3 linked regions of the Cricetulus griseus genome follow. Each later gene encodes a partner of the first gene's protein in a complex. Links are inferred from orthologs where the notes say so. Each region holds a gene or a part of one and is shown in the gene's direction. Other genes may lie near its edges.

Region 1 (3,693 bases):
AGAATGCCACTGTAATCCATTTCCTAGGGGTGAAAGCAAGGCATTTTTGTCCCAATGGCCAATTGAGCAACAACCACAGACTCTAGCTGAATAGCAGTGGTGTGAGGAGCTACTGTTCCCACAGTTAGAAGCCCAACTGCAGAAGGGGCTATTTACAGAATTTAGGGAACTACGTAAAATGAACTGCAGACGGGCTGACATTGCACAGTTGTCTGGGATGAAAGCAACATTACAAAATGGTTTCCTTTTATATTATATAACTCTTCTCTGTTTTTAAAAATTTGGTATCTCAGTCATGTTTTACTTGATATCACCCCTCCCCAAAGAAGAGCAATGCAGAAATATAAGCCCACGCAAAGAAAGAGCTAGTTTTAAAACTCAATTCTTTCTCCTTATAGTTTCGGAACCCTGTATTGGAAAGGATAGCTCATTTCTACAGATAAAATAGCACAGGCTCGGGGGAGGGGAGTGGGTGTGGAGGGGTGGTAGGGAGTGCTGTCCGTAAACAAAGCTAGCTCTATGGTGAACTATAAATTCTGTTTTGTATATTATTTCTCTTTAGTTCGTTCTCTTTTGCTTTTTTGTGACATGATCACACACTATAATCCACGCTGGCCTCAAACCAGCTGTAATCCTCCAGCCTCAGCTCCTCCAAGGTTGGGATTTACGTGCCAGTTAGGGTGACCTTGAACTGCAGATCTTCCTGCCTCTGAACCCCAGCTGCAGTTTAGATTACGATGCTGGCCTATTCTTAGTGGGCTTCTGAATCTTGTTCAAACAACAGTAACAATAACTGTAAACATCGGCATTTACCCAAGCCGTTTGGACCATCATTTCTATCTCTGCTGGTTTTTTAAAAGCAATTAAAGACTTTGGATCCTGAGGGAATATGGTCAAATTTAGTGTACTGTGTATGAAATGCTGGAATTTTCTATTAAAAAAAAAAAACCATAAAGTCTGTGATTAAGTGTAGGGGAAAACCTTGGATTATTTTAACTATAGTTTAAGGTTTAAGTCATGTATAATCACCCAGCCCCGATTTTCTTTCTTCCCTTCCCTCCCCTCCCCTCCCCTCCCCAGCCCCACCCCATAATGGATGCTCCGCTAGTTGCATTTGCTCAGCCTTTGTCTGAGGATGCAAAGTCTACGGATGCTAGGGGGAAGGGGTGGGGGAGAGATTACCTCATACCATGTCGCTTGCACCAATCACCACTCTCCTGTCGCGGCTTCTCTGGGCAGACGGAGGGGTCTGGACCAACAGGAAAAGGCCGTGGCCCATCCCCATGGTGACCGAGCTGTATATAAGGAGCCGCATCCGCCCATGTGCCGCAGGTTCTCTTACATCGACCGCCTAAGAGTCGCGCTGTAAGAAGCAACACCTCCTCCTCGCCTCCGCCAACCTCCGGGCAGCCGCAAAGCAGCAACCATGGTGAGCCAGCCTTCTTCCCTGGTCCTCCGTAACTGGGTGGAATCAGTCTCCCGAGATCTTCAAGGGAAAGCCTAAGTCTTTGTCACCCCTGCGGGGAAGGGTGGTCTCAATGCTTTGTTAAGTTGAGCTTTGCGCGGAGTCCGTAAATCCCGCAGCCGCAGTGCGGGGCAGGGAAACGCCCAGACCCGGGGAAGAACAAAGGCTCCTGCGAGTGTTTGCTCGCACAGCCTGGGCCGTCAGGGCGGGGGTTCACGGCTAGAGGGGTGCGCTGCGGCGGGCGAGCAGGGCGGCGGCCGAGCCCTCACTCCAGAAACGCCGCCCCACTTCTATGGGAAAATGGTTAGTTTGCGTCGGATCCATGGCAGCCGGTGTCAGGGAGGCGCAGGGGCGGGGTTGTTTGTCTCTTGCTTCCGTGGCGTTTTGGGAGGGGTTCGCCCTCTCTAAACTTCCCTCGGGAGTGGTTTTTGTATTTTTATTTTTAAAAAATTGCTGTGGAACTGTAATCTTACAAGAGGTTTTGTTTGCTTGAGTGTCAAAAGTACGATTTACTTAACACCAGGACATCTCGCTGGGGAGAGAGGGGCTGGATAGTTGGTGAGGTTGCCTCGACTACCCTGATTGTCAGAACCCAGGGAAACGCCCTTCCCCACCCCCCACCCCCGCAGACAATGAAAGTTGTAGCTTTAAAGACAATAGAAAACTATCTCTATAGAATAAATAATACTAATATATTATGTGGTATGTAAAGATTCATCGAATAAAATACCATTTTCTAGTTTTAAATGTTATCTTTTTACTCGGTTTTTATTGTTGGCCCTTGTTTCTAACTTAGCTTTAAGAATATTTTGCTTCTATATAGTGGAAAAGATTCTGGAAAATCTTCATTATCTAATGAAACTGCTGCAAGGAAAAAAATTATACTCCGTATCCAACTGTCTTTTGTTCTAATACATCTTCACTAATTCATTATTTCAGGCAAATGGCCCAGACAGGGTTAAGAGGGTTAGGAAACTGAAAGCAGCGAGGGGATCGTATAGACAGCTGCTGGAAATAGAGCTTTCTCTGTTAAATAATGTAACAAAGGGCACAGGCTAGCACCAGGCACAGCAGACACAGCAATGCAGAAGTCACACTTTGTCTAGTGCTGATGAGTTCTGCAGAAGGGTGTGGCTCCTGCCCGCAGCCGCAGTACTGATGTCCATGTTGAAATACCAGATCACAAAAGATGAAGCATTCATCTTTACTTATCAGGAAAAGAAGCAATTAAAATAATTCCAGACAATTATTTCACTTTACAGTATCAGTGTATTAAGTATTTTTCGAACATGAAAACTCTTCTATTTAAGTATGGCTGTGAGAACAATGGGTTTGCACCAAGTCTTAGTATTAAGGTGACATTATTCAGACCACACCCCTTTGCAGTATTTGTATCAGGTACTCATTATTGTTTCTGTCATATGAGGGATATGACTCCAAATAAATTTCAACAATATTTGTGTTATTAGAAACACTTTAGAAATCTATTAAAATCTAAAATAGAAATACAGCTTAATTTCATAATTTTTCCCCCTTTTCCACAGCGTGAGTGCATCTCCATCCACGTTGGCCAGGCTGGTGTCCAGATCGGCAATGCCTGCTGGGAGCTCTACTGCCTGGAACATGGCATCCAGCCTGACGGCCAGATGCCAAGTGACAAGACCATCGGGGGAGGAGATGACTCCTTCAACACCTTCTTCAGTGAGACAGGCGCTGGCAAGCATGTGCCCCGGGCCGTGTTCGTAGACCTGGAACCCACAGTCATCGGTAAGTGGGCCAGGGGTTTCCCTGAGGCATTCTGTCCTGGTCACATACTCAGAACCTCTCCACACACCGCCGAAGAGTGAGTGAGCTTGTGTGTGTCAGTTACTGTTGTGAATGGTTGATTTCATCTCCTTTTCCAGATGAAGTTCGCACTGGTACCTACCGCCAGCTCTTCCACCCTGAGCAGCTCATCACAGGCAAGGAAGATGCTGCCAATAACTATGCCCGTGGCCACTACACCATCGGCAAGGAGATCATTGATCTTGTCTTGGACAGAATTCGCAAGCTGGTAAATACCATAGATGGATGGGTTCATTTAAAATGCAGTGTGGGGGAGTGTTGGGACCTGCCAAAATAAGTAAAGTCTGTTCACTACATTAATTAAGTAGACTTGTACATGTGGTCTATGGGTCATGAGATCATTTTTAATACCAATTCACAATTTTTTCCTTTCAAGTAAATGT
Region 2 (3,693 bases), on another chromosome or scaffold:
AGCATCCCTCACAGCCACATGGGGTTCAAAGACATTGTTGAGTGTGTGCATGAAGATGATGAGGTCTGGCAGGCGGACCGTGGGCCCAAAGAGGAGTTGTGCATTAGTCAGTAAACCACCCTTGAAGTAGCGGGTGTGAGCATACTCTCCGCAGTCCCGGGCTGTATTCTCAATCAAGTGACAGAACTGTCGGTTCCTGCTCACAAACAGGATGATGCCCTTGCGGTAGGCCACATGAGCCGTGAAGTTCAAGGCCAACTGTAGATTCAAGGCTGTCTGCTCCAGGTCGATGATATCTTGGCCCAGGCGGTTACCAAAGATGTATGGCTCCATAAACCTGCCAAAAAAAAAAAAACCAAGTAAAATGGAACAGTGTTCACAGAGCTACCCTTCCCTTTCCACAGACCCCTACCAGCAATTCGAATGAGGGCACTGCAGACTTCGAGGCACTTTTACTTCACCTGTTTCCCTCTACATCTTGTCTAGTGAATGGCAGGATGGGGGACACAGTGTTGTGGAGTTGAGCAGCTAGCACCAGGTGTGTGTCCCAACCTGTCCTTTCCCCCATGGAGATTTGAAGGCCAACTGCACATTAAACACGAACGCAGGCAAGGTACTCTTGTCTAGTATTGCTCTCAATGGCCTCTGGCCTCTTCAGTTCTATATAGCAGGACCTCTTTACTCGGGTGGCCAAAATTCAGGGGTCCCCAGCATGTAATGACCCTCAGTTTTCACTACGTTTATGAACAGCATCAGTACTAGCACTGCACTTGATGGTACTGTTAATGCTCCAATCAGCGCCACTTCCAACCTTGACCTGATCCCACCACTCTGCCCACACTGCCTGTGCCAGTTACCTATGTCGACAACCGGCTTTATGGCCCAGGTGTACTCGGGCCTCGAAGAGGCTCTTTACAGAAAACAGTTCCTTGACATTGAAGAAGTCCGAATGCTGCAGTGGCACATCTAGAATCCTGCTCTGGAGATCTGAAAAGGGAAGAAGAGAAGACACCGTGGCACACCACCACCAACCAAAGGCTCACGAGTCTCCTGGGAGTGGGGACCTCAAGGCTGAGGAGGAGAAATGCTGGGAAAGATCTGGAAGACAAGGGGCTATATGGTGCTGAAGGGCTAGAGCCAAAGTCTGAGGTGGACTCTCTGTGGGGAAAGCCTGTCACTTCTCTCCTCTTAGTCTCCATGGAGAAAGAGACCGGGGCCTCCTCAACTTCTGGCGCCTCAAATGGCCCGCAAGGAGACCGGCAAGGTGGATAGATTCCAAACTGGTCTTCACTGGTCTCGGGAGCTACTGGGACACGGTGGAGGGAGGGGGCATTCTCCCTCCCACCCCACTTAATGCGATTAGCACAGGGTTCATTCGGGGATCCCGCAATGACAACCCCTCCACGATTCTGCACCTCGGTCCTGCCCCAGCCGCTGGTCTTTACCGTCGCCATCCTGAGGCTCGCTGACCATGGGGACTTGGGCTCCCGTCACCATCCTACCATTCAGCCCCGCTGGGCCCGGGGTCGCCTTCTGCAGGAAACCTGGCCAGCGCCACACACCTGCGGGGAGAGAGCCGGTGAGGCCGCGCCCTGTCCACGTCCCTGCCCTCTTCTCTCGGATCCCAGGGTCCCTCCCGTCTCGGGGCGGGGGGTTCCAAGCTCACCTGCACACCGCAGCCGGGTGAGGACAGCCGGAGCGGGAGCCATGGCTGGCGCGTGGAAGGAGATGCCGCAGAGACGCTTCCTGCCGAGCAGAGCGCCTCCTCCGCCGAGTGCGTGAGGCCGCAGCGCCGCCTGCAGGTCCGGAGGACCGCTGCCGGCTCCCGCTGCGAGCGACCCTGTAGGAGGGATTCCGCCCGAGAGAATCTCTCTGCTGAGGCTGGCGATCAGTGCAGGGCTGGAAGGTGGGAGGGACTGAACCAGGACGAGAGGGTTCTCATCTACTGCTCGTTCCTCCCGGTAAAATTACAGCGTCCTCTCAGAACCGGTTAGAAGGAGGCGACCCTCTGGTTTAAAATGGCTTTTGTTTGTTTTTCTGAGACAGGGTTTCTCTGTGAAGCCTTGGCTATCCTGGAGCTCTCTGTAGACCAGGCTAGACCAGGCTGGGCTGGAATGGCTGGCCTTGAATGGCTGGTCCACCTCCCTCTGGCTCCCGAGTGCTTGCACCACCACGGCCTGTCTTATTGTTTGCTTTTTAATTGCTTTTTTTAAATTTGAAATTTGTTTTAGATGTATATATTTTGTGGATGAATATTTTGCCTACATGTGCACCCTATGAGTGCCCGGTGCCCGTGGAGATTGTAAGAAAGAGTTAAGGATGTTTGTGAGTCACCTTGTAGGTGCTGGGAGTTGAACCTAGGTTCCCAGTAAGAGCAATAAATGCCCGTAACCACTGAGCCATCTCACCAGCCCCCAAATTACTTTAAAGAATGAAGACAACACTAACCTAAGTTTTCCTGACTGGCCTGGCACTCACAGAGATCTGCCTGTCTCTGTCTCCAAGTGCTGGAATTATTGGTGTGCACCACCACACTATCCCCCGTGTGACTTTTATTGTTTGTTTTAAATTATTTATTATTTATTATTATTATTATTATTTATTATTATTGAGACAGGGTCTCATTATGTACCCTTGGCTGACCTAGAACTCTGTGTAGATCAGTCTGGCCTCTAACTCAAGATTTGCTTTCTGGCATTGCACTAGCAATGAACATGCACTGTTCACAAGATAATTTTTTTATATTTCAATAGTATTCGGCCTGGGAAGATTTCCTAAATTTAGCAACATCTCGGATCTAAACTTAGGCTGAATTGTGGGGAGCGAGGGGTAACAGAGGCTAAGGAGAAGTCCTGGCAAGAATAGTAAACTGCAGACCAGTGCGTGCTTGCTCAGGTAGAGATTGGAAGCATCTAATAATTCCTGTATGTTTTTTGTTAAGTCCCAGGTCCTAAGGTTTCATTTGCCCAGGATATTATCCCTACTGCCTTTTGGGATGATACCAGGATGTTCCCAACAGTTCCAGAAAAAGGCCAGCGTAAGTCCCAGAAAAAGGCCAGCGTAACTCCCAGAGGGGCTGCTGTCAGAAAGCTTGGGATTCCTTAGCGCGACAGTCCTAGCTTAGAATTCCTCACTGTTCCCTTTGTTATTCGCCCTCTGAAAGATTCTAGACTTGCCTATAGCTCCAGTGGCAAGCAACCTACAAAGGACCGCCCCTCCTTCCGGCCAGGCGACATAGTTGCCTAGTAACAAGACGCCCTGATGCGGCAGCCGCAGCTTTGACTACTAGTCTGAGGCTACTTTCCTGTGGAGGTCAAATGTCGGAAGAAAACCCCCAAGAGTGCACGGAGCTGGTGGAGCCCAAGGCTAAGCCTGCCCCAGAGAAGACGAGCGATTACTACTCCGTGAGCGAGCAGCTCCCAGTCAGGTTCAACAACCCGGGGTGGTTTCGTGGCTACAGGTGAGGAAAACTGAGGTTACCTCTTCCAGGAGGTGCCCTCGGTGGCCCTAGCTTGTGTGTGAAAACTCCAAATTGCCTGGCTGCTGAGGTTAAAAGAAGCCAGAGGCGGACCCTGTACCTTGTGTCATCATTACTACCAGGGTCTTGGACCTGCTGTCTGAGTAACCGTGAAAGTGAGTGCGTGTGCTCGTGAGCTTGTGTGTGTGTGTGTGTGTGTGTGTGTGTGTGTTCGC
Region 3 (3,693 bases), on another chromosome or scaffold:
CGCCTCTGGCGGAGGGATGAGGGTTGAGACCAGGCTCAACCATAGCGCTGTCCTGAGCCAGCGGCAGTAGCGGCTCAGGTGCTGCGGTGGCTGCTTATGCTGGCAGAAGGAGGAAAAAAAAAGAGGAGGGAGGTACACAGGGGGAGGATGCAAGGGGCTGGACTCGCTTCAGTCACCTCCCTGCGGCTACGCCAAGGCCGCCCATCCTTCCTCCTCCCTCGGTCCTCTCCTCCTCCTATCCACGTCGCCTTGACAACCGCATCCTCTTCGCTCAGCGCGGGTGGGGCAGGGACCACGCGCGCCTCTGCCGCTCACCTGCTGGTCTCCATGGTAGCCGCCACCGCTGGCGCGCGGCGTAGGAGTGCGCGCGCCAGGGTTTGCACCTAACCCAACAGGCTTACGTAAAGCACTCGGTAGAAGAACCCTCCAAATCATCCGCAGCAGTACATTTCACCCCTATTGCTCTTCTCAGCCAGGGGTTATTTCTAAGCATCTTATTTTGTAAACGTGGCATGTGAAATGATAAAGGGAAGACAGACGTTATCGCTACCTTCCAGGGATCGTCTCCTAGAGTGGCCCCAGCACTAACTGCAAAAGCTACTTCCATCCTTCCACCGGCTAAATCCATCCATGTTTTTACAGCCGGGCTGATGAGTAACCCTGGCGTCCGCATAGTTAAACAACAAGGGGAGTGACCTAATCGACAGTTTTTCAATCAGTACACGTGAGATCTTCGGGGGTTTTTTGTTTTTGTTTTTTGTTTTTTTGTTTTTACATTCTCGTACTCTCATTGTTTTGAAAATGGGGAAATAGGTGAGGGGGAAAAGGAAACCTGTGGATCACCCTACGGACTTCTTTCGTCTTTTACAGAACTCCCGTGCTATGGGAGGCCAGCGTTTTCCAGCTGAGGCTCCAGAGTGCCTATCTAGGTCTCCTTTCCTCGGTATTCACAACAGCCTCCTCCCAAGGAGCCTTCTGAGTTGAACCGCCAGGTGGCGCATCTCTCGAAGGGAATTCATCTCTGTCATAAACGCAGGGGTAGTTGCCTGGCAACCAAAAACTGGGCGTTCCAAACAATTGGGACCTGGGATCCTCTAGAAGCCAGGTCGTGCTGCGACTGCGCTAATCTCTTGAGAATAAGCCTGCGCCTTTGGGCCTTTAAGCATGCCTCACACTCCGGAATCTTACCCTCACCCTGCGTTAAGTGAAGAAGACATACACTTGGGGAATCTGCGGGCTTCTAAGGTACTGAGTTTCCTCAGCAAATTCCCAGTGGGGTCTCCAGCAGACTCCTAATAACCTAACTCTGGTGAGACCACCGAGTACCAGAGAAATCTGCTTTCTGTCTGTCTCCTTGGCCTGCTATTCGGGTCCGCTAACGTTTCAGAAGTGTATGTATGTATTTTATGTATGTTTGGGAGCTACAGGTTTGGCTTGCTGTTTGAAATTGTGGTAGAAAAGCAGCCTTTCCTGTAAATATAAGAATAAAACAAGAAGGAACACTCCCAGAAGCAGAAGGCTAAGCTGAGAAGGAAGGTATAATAGACAGAGACCAAAGTTAAACCAGGAGTTGGCCTCATAAGATGGAAAAGTATTTGTAGAATCAAAGAAGGTCAGGGTTGGGAAAGATCCTTCTAGTAGCCACAGAGATCATGGCTCCACAGCCAGGACAGTTTCAGTGGGCACTGGAAGAAAGGCCAGACTACAAAGAGTTGGAGACATGAAGGGTGAAGAAGGGGAGACAGTAATTGCTGACCCTTGAAGAAGCATGGTTCTGTGGAAAAGGTGACAGTGGCAGACATACCTTGAGAAAAGGATAGTTGAGATAATGGGGCCAGATGAGGGTTTGGGGAATGGTACAGATCCAAAGAACAGGGAAGGGCTGGATCAGAGAAGCGTCCTTCTGAGTGAAGGACTTCTCCCTGTGAACAAAGATAGGTCTGAAGGCTGGCCCTAGTAATTGACAGTTGGTTTTCTTTTATTTTTTTTGTTTTTTATTTTTTCAAGGTTTCTCTGTGTAGCCCTGGCTGTCCTGGAACTCATACTGTAGACCAGGCTGGCCTCGAACTCATAAAGATCCACCTGCCTCTGCTACCTTAGTGGAACGCAATCTGGTTGTGCCAATAAAGGAGATGGCAAGCCTTGTATGGCCCTTGAAAAAAGTGGCACAGCTGCTGAGGGCCACGGCAGGGGTAGCTGAGCCTGTGTTTGAACTGTGTTTACTTATTTGCCTGATCCTACTGTCCAACTAAGATTTAACTGAGTTGAGTCACACAGTACTTTGCTACATGAAGGGAGAAGAGGCTAGATGCTAGTGCTTACTCGAGTCAGTCATTGGTTTGATCAGAGCTTAGTTTTTATGTGAATGTAAAGTCAACATGCTTGGTACTGAGGATACAGTGGTGAAAATGGCCAATTTCAAATACAAGGAAAACCAACCTTGTGTTTTTCTCTTATGTCTGTAGTGTTTATAGAACCCAGTGTCCATTGAGCCCTTTCTGACATTCCTTTCCATGACTTTTTTTTTCTTTTTTCTTTTTTCTTTTTTTTTTTTTTTTTTTTTTTTGGTTGTTCGAGACAGGGTTTCTCTGTAGCTTTGGAGCCTGTCCTGGAACCAGCTTTGTAAACCAGGCTGACCTCAAACTCACAGAAATCCACCTACCTCTTCCTCCCGAGTGCTGGATTAAAGGCATGTGCAACCACTGCTGGGCGACTTATCCTTTCTTGGATAATCTTTATTTTTAACCTAGACACAACCCTTTCTGACTTTGTCTCCCATTGCCTCTATGGGACCCTCCCTGCCTCGGTAAAAATATTGTCCTAGTAGATCCTTTTGGTCAGGCTTTTTCCACAGAATTCAACTACTAGTATGTGGACCACTTGATTTATCTTGTCTATTTCCAGCTCTCCAGCAAGCCATACACTTCCAGTTTTCTGTTAATTAGAACTTTCATCTTTTCTCCAAACTTGGACTTCTAAGTATGAACATACCGTCTTTCGGATCTGTTTGCTGAGCCCACTCCCAGCATCTTGATCCATCAGTTTCTTCTATTTTCCTGGCCCATTTCAATCATTTCTCACTCAGAAGGCTTAGGGAGTCTTGCCCCTGTGATCGCTCATCTCTTTGTAGCTGTCCTGAGATTCAAGTAAAATGGGATGGAGCAAGGTGATGAACATGACCCATGCTGCATCAGCAGGGCCTCAGAAGGAGCACGGTGATGAACGTGACCCATGCTGCATCAGCAGGGCCTCAGAAGGAGCAAGGTGATGAACGTGACCCATGCTGCATCAGCAGGGCCTCAGATGGAGCAAGGTGATGAACGTGACCCATGCTGCATCAGCAGGGCCTCAGATGGAGCAAGGTGATGAACGTGACCCATGCTGCATCAGCAGGGCCTCAGAGGGAGCACGGTGATGAACGTGACCCATGCTGCATCAGCAGGGCCTCAGATGGAGCACGGTGATGAACGTGACCCATGCTGCATCAGCAGGGCCTCAGATGGAGCACGGTGATGAACGTGACCCATGCTGCATCAGCAGGGCCTCAGAAGGAGCACGGTGATGAACGTGACCCATGCTGCATCAGCAGGGCCTCAGAAGGAGCAAGGTGATGAACGTGACCCATGCTGCATCAGCAGGGCCTCAGAAGGAGCACGGTGATGAACGTGACCCATGCTGCATCAGCAGGGCCTC

The links. Proteins that work in one complex are often made in the same cells at the same time.
Region 2: the proteins of Tuba1a (region 1) and CUNH9orf116 are in contact, whole or in part, in a cryo-EM structure (PDB 7UNG), measured with the Homo sapiens proteins. The link is inferred for Cricetulus griseus from reciprocal best matches to the Homo sapiens genes TUBA1A and PIERCE1. Residues at the interface, in NP_001257328.1 of Homo sapiens: Met1, Arg2, Gln15, Asn18, Ala19, Glu22, Cys25, Leu26, Glu27, His28, Gly29, Ile30, Gln31, Pro32, Asp33, Met36, Pro37, Asp39, Lys40, Asp46, Asp47, Ser48, Asn50, Glu77, Gly81, Thr82, Tyr83, Tyr224, Thr225, Asn228; in NP_001041730.1 of Homo sapiens: Tyr28, Pro35, Gly36, Arg37, Phe38, Trp43, Phe44, Arg45, Gly46, Tyr47, Arg48, Thr58, Ser59, Asn60, Gln61, Ala62, Tyr63, Gly64, Arg66, His71, Glu72, Pro74, Phe77, Tyr78, Pro79, Asn80, Ser81, Asn82, Lys83.
Region 3: the proteins of Tuba1a (region 1) and CUNH1orf194 are in contact, whole or in part, in a cryo-EM structure (PDB 7UNG), measured with the Homo sapiens proteins. The link is inferred for Cricetulus griseus from reciprocal best matches to the Homo sapiens genes TUBA1A and CFAP276. Residues at the interface, in NP_001257328.1 of Homo sapiens: Lys112, Glu113, Ile115, Asp116, Leu117, Leu119, Asp120, Arg123, Lys124, Asp127, Arg156, Ser158, Val159, Asp160, Gly162, Lys163, Leu195, Glu196, His197, Ser198, Asp199, Tyr262, Pro263, Arg264, Trp346, Lys430, Asp431, Glu434, Val435, Val437; in NP_001231954.1 of Homo sapiens: Pro43, Trp44, Arg46, Leu47, Asn48, Thr50, Pro51, Thr52, Ile53, Thr54, Ser55, Arg57, Arg58, Ala60, Tyr62, Asp64, Ile67, Pro68, Lys69, Asp70, Asp71, Phe74, Arg75, Lys90, Ser91, Leu94, Leu95, Asn96, Lys98, Thr99.

Annotation. Positions count from the first base shown.
Region 1 is NC_048595.1:395,418,356-395,422,048, reverse strand, and holds the start of Tuba1a (tubulin alpha-1A chain), read left to right. Parts: upstream 1-1,329; 5' UTR 1,330-1,426; coding exon 1,427-1,429; intron 1,430-2,714; exon of another isoform or gene 2,715-3,009; coding exon 3,010-3,232; exon of another isoform or gene 3,233-3,369; coding exon 3,370-3,518; exon of another isoform or gene 3,519-3,575; intron 3,576-3,693. UniProt on the Homo sapiens protein: Tubulin is the major constituent of microtubules, a cylinder consisting of laterally associated linear protofilaments composed of alpha- and beta-tubulin heterodimers.
Region 2 is NC_048599.1:140,160,084-140,163,776, reverse strand, and holds the start of CUNH9orf116 (UPF0691 protein C9orf116 homolog), read left to right. Parts: upstream 1-1,562; 5' UTR 1,563-1,579; intron 1,580-1,665; exon of another isoform or gene 1,666-1,666; coding exon of another isoform or gene 1,667-1,709; exon of another isoform or gene 1,710-1,961; intron 1,962-2,941; 5' UTR 2,942-3,037; intron 3,038-3,163; 5' UTR 3,164-3,317; coding exon 3,318-3,460; intron 3,461-3,693. Other genes in the region: Mrps2 (28S ribosomal protein S2, mitochondrial), read right to left, coding at 1-337, 858-987, 1,416-1,562, 1,667-1,709. UniProt on the Homo sapiens protein: Microtubule inner protein involved in the attachment of outer dynein arms (ODAs) to dynein-decorated doublet microtubules (DMTs) in cilia axoneme, which is required for motile cilia beating.
Region 3 is NW_023276806.1:48,577,862-48,581,554, reverse strand, and holds the start of CUNH1orf194 (protein C1orf194 homolog), read left to right. Parts: upstream 1-1,066; 5' UTR 1,067-1,164; coding exon 1,165-1,245; intron 1,246-3,693. Other genes in the region: Elapor1 (endosome/lysosome-associated apoptosis and autophagy regulator 1), read right to left, coding at 1-43. UniProt on the Homo sapiens protein: Microtubule inner protein (MIP) part of the dynein-decorated doublet microtubules (DMTs) in cilia axoneme, which is required for motile cilia beating. May play an important role for the maintenance of myelin-axon integrity.